Linked DNA regions of Mus musculus. The protein of the gene in region 1 interacts with the protein of each later gene in a biochemical or structural test. Links are inferred from orthologs where the notes say so. Each region holds a gene or a part of one and is shown on either strand. Other genes may lie near its edges.

Evidence for each region.
Region 2: the proteins of Rnf8 (region 1) and Mdc1 form a complex in vitro, tested with the Homo sapiens proteins (2 studies listed by BioGRID and IntAct, with this or other methods). The link is inferred for Mus musculus from reciprocal best matches to the Homo sapiens genes RNF8 and MDC1.

The regions. Positions count from the first base shown.
Region 1 is NC_000083.6:29,635,226-29,638,874, forward strand, and holds part of Rnf8 (E3 ubiquitin-protein ligase RNF8), read left to right. Parts: intron 1-592; coding exon 593-797; intron 798-3,649. UniProt on the Homo sapiens protein: E3 ubiquitin-protein ligase that plays a key role in DNA damage signaling via 2 distinct roles: by mediating the 'Lys-63'-linked ubiquitination of histones H2A and H2AX and promoting the recruitment of DNA repair proteins at double-strand breaks (DSBs) sites, and by catalyzing 'Lys-48'-linked ubiquitination to remove target proteins from DNA damage sites.
Region 2 is NC_000083.6:35,854,909-35,858,557, forward strand, and holds part of Mdc1 (mediator of DNA damage checkpoint protein 1), read left to right. Parts: coding exon 1-73; intron 74-191; coding exon 192-302; intron 303-2,554; coding exon 2,555-2,722; 3' UTR 2,723-3,649. UniProt on the Homo sapiens protein: Histone reader protein required for checkpoint-mediated cell cycle arrest in response to DNA damage within both the S phase and G2/M phases of the cell cycle.

The sequences.
Region 1 (3,649 bases):
AGTGCCAGGACAGCCAGGGCTACACAGAGAAACCCTGTCTGGAAAGAACCAAACCAAAAAAAAAAAAAAAAAAAAAAAAAAGATAAGCAAACACCTGTCTCCTAGGCTACCGTTTGTTACTTCGCCATGTTATCACACCAGCTATTTTAATTTTCATACATTTTCGTACCATTTGTAACCAATTCATTTTATGCTAAGTGTTACGCTTATACAGTTGAGTAGCAGGTGAGTTTTAGTCTTTTTTACACCTTTGGAAAGGAAGATGGGTGTGCAGAGAGACTGCTGTTCCCAAGCAGCCCCTAGGAAGATTGGGTGTGTCTGCCTCCTGCGGAAAGACCAGGTCTGTGACTGGAGTCACTTTGGCTGCCACTTTGGCTGCAAGTCATTCCCAGCGTAGTCTCCAGTCTGATGGGTTGCTTAGGACTGTGGGAACTGGAGGGGAGTGGGAGGAAAGGGAGGCAGAACCGGGTGCTGAGCCAGCCGGAGCAGAGCGGAGCCTCTGTGAGGCGGGGCTGTGGTGAGTCTGCCTGTGGGCCTGGGAGATTCGCTCTGTTGTGCTTGAGAAAGTAAGAGTGTCCCTTTCACATTGCAGGCTGTCACCCTGAACTGTGCCCACAGTTTCTGCTCCTTCTGTATCAATGAATGGATGAAACGGAAAGTAGAGTGTCCCATTTGTCGAAAGGACATTGAGTCCAGAACCAACTCCCTGGTTCTGGACAACTGCATTAGTAAGATGGTGGATAACCTAAGCTCAGACGTGAAGGAAAGAAGAAGTGTCCTTATTAGGGAACGGAGAGGTGAGTGGCTCTGAACTCCTACTCCCTGACAAAGGGCTTCCTTACTTAGCTACAGCAGGCGTTTTTACAGGGTGAAGTTGGACAATAGAGTTTAGTAAATGTTTTTGGAGTACAGGCAGGAGAAATGGGAGTATCTGCAGAGTTCAGGTAGCCCGCATAGGAAAGAACCGAATTAGAGTTAGTCTCTGTTGTTTGAGCTCCACCTGGTAGGTGTGTTCCCGCTTGCTCTGGAGCAAAAAGCTGGGCCAGAAAACAGTCAAATGGTTTGCTGTCTGCACACCAGGTGGTGCTGTTGCTGAAGGCAGCCGGCCAGTTAGAGATGGAAATACATACATAAGCTCTGTAAGGGCTTAGGGCTGGGGTGTAGTCAGCCACAAAGCCCTGGGTTCAGTCCCTAGCACCACTATTCACACACACACATTATTGCGTCCTGGTGGGTTTGATAACACATCTCCAGTCAGGGGACTTGGGGTGAGAAGATTGGGGAAGGGATGGCAAGTGTTCCTGAACTGTCCCTCCTAGTGAATATCTGTCCATTTAAGTCAGTGGTTCTCAACATCCCTAATGCTGCAACCCTTTAAAGTAGTCCCTCTTGTTGTGACTGACAACCATAAAATTAATTTGGTTACCACTCCATAACCATCTGTACGTTTGCTACTGTTATGAATCACAATGTAAATATCTGTTTCTGGTGGTCTTTGGGGGTCGTGCCCACAGGTTGAGAACCGCTGGTTTAAGTGATGCTGCCACACTAGGGGCTTGCTGTGTTAATGCCGCAGAAAGCCACTCCTTCATGTTGCAGCAGAAGATTCTTGGTGCAGAACAAGGAAGCTGCTGGGTATTGCATAGAGAGCCATGGCACAAGAGGCGGGGTGTCCATGGCCGTCGTGTTCTGTTGCTACCTTCTGGGAATTGGAAATTAACTCAGCTCCTGTCTGTGATGCTGTCACATGACCGGTGTGTGGGGGTTGGGTGGGGGTGGGGTGGCCTGGTTATACTCCTGAGCTGAGAGATGCTGGGCAGCATAGAGGCCAGATGCTGGTCATAGCAGTCGAGTGGCCCTACAGGAACCAGCTTTTCCAGGTAGGGACAGGGATCTGTTGCTGACACATGTGCATCCATAGTGTGAGACTGGGCTGGGTGCTGTGGATGCCGAGTGGGAAGGGTTCCTGGCTAGGAGTGTGAGCTGACCCTTGACGTGTGTGCTTGCTGCTTTCCTGATACCTGCTAGAGTATTTTGCTCAGTTTAGAGTCTCTATAAGTTTTACCTCTGCCCTTGGTTCTGGCAGAAGCCCATTGCTCTTCATTTCCACCTGTATTTCCATAGGAACATGACACTAGCCCTGGGAAGAGAGAGAGCATCTCACTTCCTCTCACGCTTACCTGAAGGTGTTGTGTGGCTTCAGAGGAAGGACCGCTTACGTGGGTCTGGGCAGGTGGAGATGAGAGAGGATCCTGTAGAGGAAGCCATGTTTATGCCAAGCCTTACAGCTTTCTGGTTGCTTGCTTTCCAAGCCAAGAACATGACACAGTTTGCAGAACAGCCAAAACTGGGAGGGGCCTGCCAATGGCTTGCTTCTGTCTTCCTGGGAGTCAGATTAGATAAGGAGCAGGCTATGACTTTTGAGCGGAAGTGTGTTGTCTGGGTCAGGGTGGGATGCCTATGAGAGTTTCTTTTTTCTTTTTCTTTTTTTTTTAAGATTTATTTATTTATTTATTTATTTATTTATTTATGTAAGTAAACTGTAGCTGTCTTCAGACACACCAGAAGAGGGTATCAGATCTCATTAAGAATGGTTGTAAGCCACTATGTGCTGGGATTTGAACTCAGGACCTCTGAAGAGCAGTCAGTGCTCTTAACCACTGAGCCATCTCTCCAGCCCCCCCCCCCCCCCCAGGAGAATTTCTTTGCCCAGCCTATGTTGTTGTTCAGCTGATGACTGGAAGAGCCCAAGTCCGTCTCTGTCCTCTTATGGAGAGTCACTTGCATAGACTAAGGACCACAGTCCCTCCTCCCTTCTCTGCAGAGGCTAAGCAGGCTATCCCTGGGCGCCTCTGGAAAGAGGAGTGACTGTTCAGGAAACCACGCCCTGTTGCACACCCTGATCGCAGCATGTCTGGCAGCCAGTTCTCACCGCAAGTGCAGCTTTGCGACCCGTTCTTTAGACAGGCAGAAGGTTCTGTGCCTTGATTTAGGAAAAGATGTACCAGAGCCACCAGCAGCGTTGTTGGGCTGCAGTCTGGGGGCCAGCTCTCTGTGAGTGTTCAGCTCTCTGTGAGTGTTCTGGCTGCAGTGTGGGGGCCAGCTCTCTGTGAGTGTTCTGGTGCCATTTGAAGGCTGGTTTATTCCTTAGTGCGTGGGAATTTCTAAAAAGAACTTAGGATCTGGAATGGAAGAGTGTTCAGTGGTCAAGAGTACTTTCTGCTCTTCCAGAGGACTGTGTTCAATTCCTAGCACCCACATGCTGGCTTACAACTGCCTGTAACTCCAAAGGGATCTGACATGTTTTGGCTGTTTTAGGCACCAAGAATGCACATGGTGTGCATATATGTGTAGGTAAAACACCCTTACATATAAATACAACAAACCAAGCGAATACACAAAGAACGCAGGCTCTGTGTTTGGGCAAGGGTTTGGTTGATTCTCACGCAGATGTCCTGTGCTCTCCAAAAGCAGGGCCTTCCTCAGCTTCCCTGACTGTAGGTTTAGGTCCCAGTGGGAGCAGCACCTCCTGACTGGTTAGCTGTTGGGGGTGGGGGATAGTAGGAGGCTGGATTAAAGCAGGATTAAAGAAGCATGCCTTGCAGGTGGGGTAAATAGCACATTCAAATGCCACATTTGTACCAGGGTC
Region 2 (3,649 bases), about 6.2 Mb from region 1:
TGAGCAAGAGAAGAACTTTAGCTTCAGCCTTCGGGATTCCCTGTGCCGGGCTCGGGAACGAAGACTGCTGGAGGTAAATAAGAGTCTGTCTTCTGCACCACGCTGCCGTCCTATCCCCTGGAGCTCTTAGAGGTTTCCCAGTGCCTTTGGCCTGTCACTGCAGGTGTCTGTCTCCATCATTCCTCTCTTAGGACTATGAGATTCATGTGACCCCTGGCGTGCAGCCACCCCCCCCTCAGATGGGCGAGATCATCAGTTGCTGTGGAGGCACTTTCCTGCCCAGCATGCCTCACTCCTATAAGGTATGGCAAGCATAGGAAGTGGGAACAAGAGAGGGTTGGAGGAATGATGGAGGGAAAGAGGAACAAGAATGAGGGAAGAGAGGAAGAGGTGCTGGCCTCAAAGGGACTCGGTGTTGTTGTTTTTTTGTTTTTGTCTTGTTTTGGTGTCAGGTACTTATTTTTTTATTTTTTATTAGATATTTTCTTTATTTACATTTCAAATGCTATCCCAAAAGTTTCCTATACCCCTTCCCCACCCCAGCCTCAGTGTTGTTTTTAAGGTTTAAACATTTTCAAGCAGCCAGATATGGTGCTCCACATTGGCAGTTTAGCACATGGGACTTGAAGCATGAGGAGAAGTTCTAGGTATATACTCATGGAAGCCCCTGGGACTGCGTGTCCCTTTCTTTTTTTTTTTTTTTTTTTTTTTTTTTTTTTGGTTTTTCGAGACAGGGTTTCTCTGTAGCCCTGGCTGTCCTGTCACTTTGTAGACCAGGTCACTTTGTAGACCAGGCTGGCCTTGAACTCAAGATCCACCTGCCTCTGCCTCCTGCATGTCCCTTTCTTACTCACCCCCACCCCCACCCTAACATTTTTTTAAGTCTATTTTACACACAGAGAAGAGGGGCTGGAGAGACAGCTGTGGTTAGGAGTACTTGCTGCTCTAGCATGAGCACAAGCGTTTGCATCCATCACCCACAGAAGGGCTCACAAGCATTGTAACTCCAGCAGCCAGGAAGTCAGAAGCCTTTTTGGCTTTCTTTTCGTTTAAGTGACTGATTAATTTATTAAGATTTAGTTATTCGGGGCTGTAGCGAACGGGGGCCAGAGCAAGTGGTCTGGAGCAAGAGGGAGAAGGAAAGGGGGGCTGGGAGGGAAAAAATTATTTATTGAGCTGGCCATGGTGATGATCCCAGCACTCAGGAGGCAGGGGCAGGAAGATCTCTGAATTTGAGGCCATCCTGGTCTACATAGCAAGTTCCAGGACAGCCAGAACTGTGTCTCAAAGAAAAAAAAAAAGGAAACAAAGAAAAAGACTTATTTTGTGTGTGTAGATGTTTTGCCTGAACGTATGTCGGCACTATTTGTGCACCTTGTGCTGGTAGAGGGCAGAAGAGAGTAGAGGGTATTGGATCCCCTGAGACTGGAGTTACATATTGTTGGGAGCTACCATGTAGATGGTGGGAAGCAAGCTTGGGTCAAAAATAGATAGATATACTTTGCTTTGCGCCCATAGTTAATAGTTTCAATAATGTTACACTTCTTTCTTTTTTTTTCCTTCCTTCCTTCCCTTTTTTTTTTTTTTTTTCTGTAGTCAGGCAACCTTTTTTTGTTTGTTTGTTTGTTTGTTTGTTTTTTGAGACAGGGTTTCTCTTTATAGCCCTGGCTGTCCTGGAACTCACTCTGTAGACCAGGCTGGCCTCGAACTCAGAAATCCGCCTGCCTCCGCTTCCCGAGTGCTGGGATTAAAGGCGTGCACCACCACGCCCAGCTTCCAGGCAACCTTTTAATGCAGTTCCTTATGTTATGGTGACCCCCAATCATAATATTTATTTATTTATTTATTTATTTATTGTTTTTTTTTTCGAGACTGGGTTTCTCTGTGTAGAGCTCTGGCTGTCCTGGAACTCACTCTGTAGACCAGGTTAGCCTCAAACTCAGAAATCCGCCTGCCTCTGCCTCCCAAGTGCTGGGATTAAAGGCGTGCACCACCACCACCCAGCTCCATGTATTTATTATATTTTCTGATTCTCTATTGTGTAGTGCCCCTCGCCCTCACTCCACCCCCTGCCTTTGTAGGAATTGACTTCCAGCAGGGAGGAGACCAGCTGTCCCTGAGAATATTCCTCAGTCAGGACTTTCCTGTGTTCCCTTGTTTGCATCGTTTTTATCTTATCCCACTATATTCTGTGTCTCATGCAGATTATGATAAAAGCTGCAGTGGGGGCTGGGAATGGAGCTTGGTCGGTAGCCTGTTTCCTAGCATATACAGAACTGGGCTTGATACCTAATACACATAATACCTACCTGTAATCCCAGCACTCTGGAAATGGGGACAAGAGGATCAGAAGCTCAAGGTTATCTTTAACTATGTAGTAAATTGCAGGCCAGCTTGGGTTAGTTATATGAAACCCTTTTCAAAGACAGGGGAGGGTAGGTTGAACGTTTGCGTGAGTGTGTTGTGTGTGTGTAGGTTCAGTTCTGAAACAGCTTAATGGGTCCTGCATCTGTTTCAAAGTTCCTTCCTAACCGTCTTTGCTGTCTCTTCACAGCTTCACCGAGTCATCATAACTTGCACTGAAGACCTACCACGCTGTGCTATTCCATCCCGCCTGGGGCTACCCCTCCTCTCTCCTGAGTTCCTCCTGACTGGAGTGCTGAAGCAGGAAGCCACACCAGAGGCCTTTGTTCTCTCCAATTTGGAAATGTCATCTACCTAAAAAAATATGTACCTTTACCTTCTCAGACCATCGAACAGTCCTAGAAAACACTTGGAAAAAGGAACACACACATACACAATTAAGACGGGGCAAGGTGGTTCACACCTTTAATCTCAGCACTTGGGAGGCAGAAGTAATCATATTTTTCTGAGTTCTGGGCTAGCCAGAGGTACATAATGAGACCCCATCTCAAAAACCAAATCAAACAACAAACCTCAGGGTTTCACAAAGGCCTAAGGTATATTGTATCATCGTAACTGTTTGGGGAATGTGAATAAGGCCTAAAATGTTTTGGGGAAAAAAGGGAACTTTTTTCCTAAGATAGCCAGTTTTTTAGTTGGCTCACCTGAGCTGGGTATGGCTCTCTACCGAGCACCTGCCATCTGCCCAGCTGTGCTCCGAGGAAGCTGCTCCAGGCTCAGTGCCCTGACTCTACCTCCTGTCCAGAAGCCAGCATTTTCTCTTTACTTCCCGGGGTTCTACTCAACATGAAGCAGCTCCCAGGAGTGCTTGGTTGAGAAGATGAGGGTAGCTCATGGGTGTGGCTAGGAAAGGCTTTAGTTTTGCTGTACTTGCTCTGCTTTGCAGTGTTGGCAGTTAGCTGTGGTCATCTCCAGTAGCTCAGTGCTCACTCTGCCTTCTTGGTGGCAGGTTTCTGTGTGGAGACACAATGGATTTGAACTTGCACTTCATTTATTATTATTATTAATTTAGAGTAAATTGTATTTGTTTTTTAAAGTTGGCTACTTTCCAGGATGTGGAGAAAGTAGAACTCATGAATACTGCTGGTGTTTGGCTTGTCCTCTGCAGTAAACAGTAGCAAAGTTATTTCAAAGTAAGCAGAGCTAGCCGTGGGCATTGCCTGTAGCCCCAGTGCTTAGGAGGCTGAAGTAGGAAGCTCACCAGTGCCAGTTCAGCCTGGGCTAC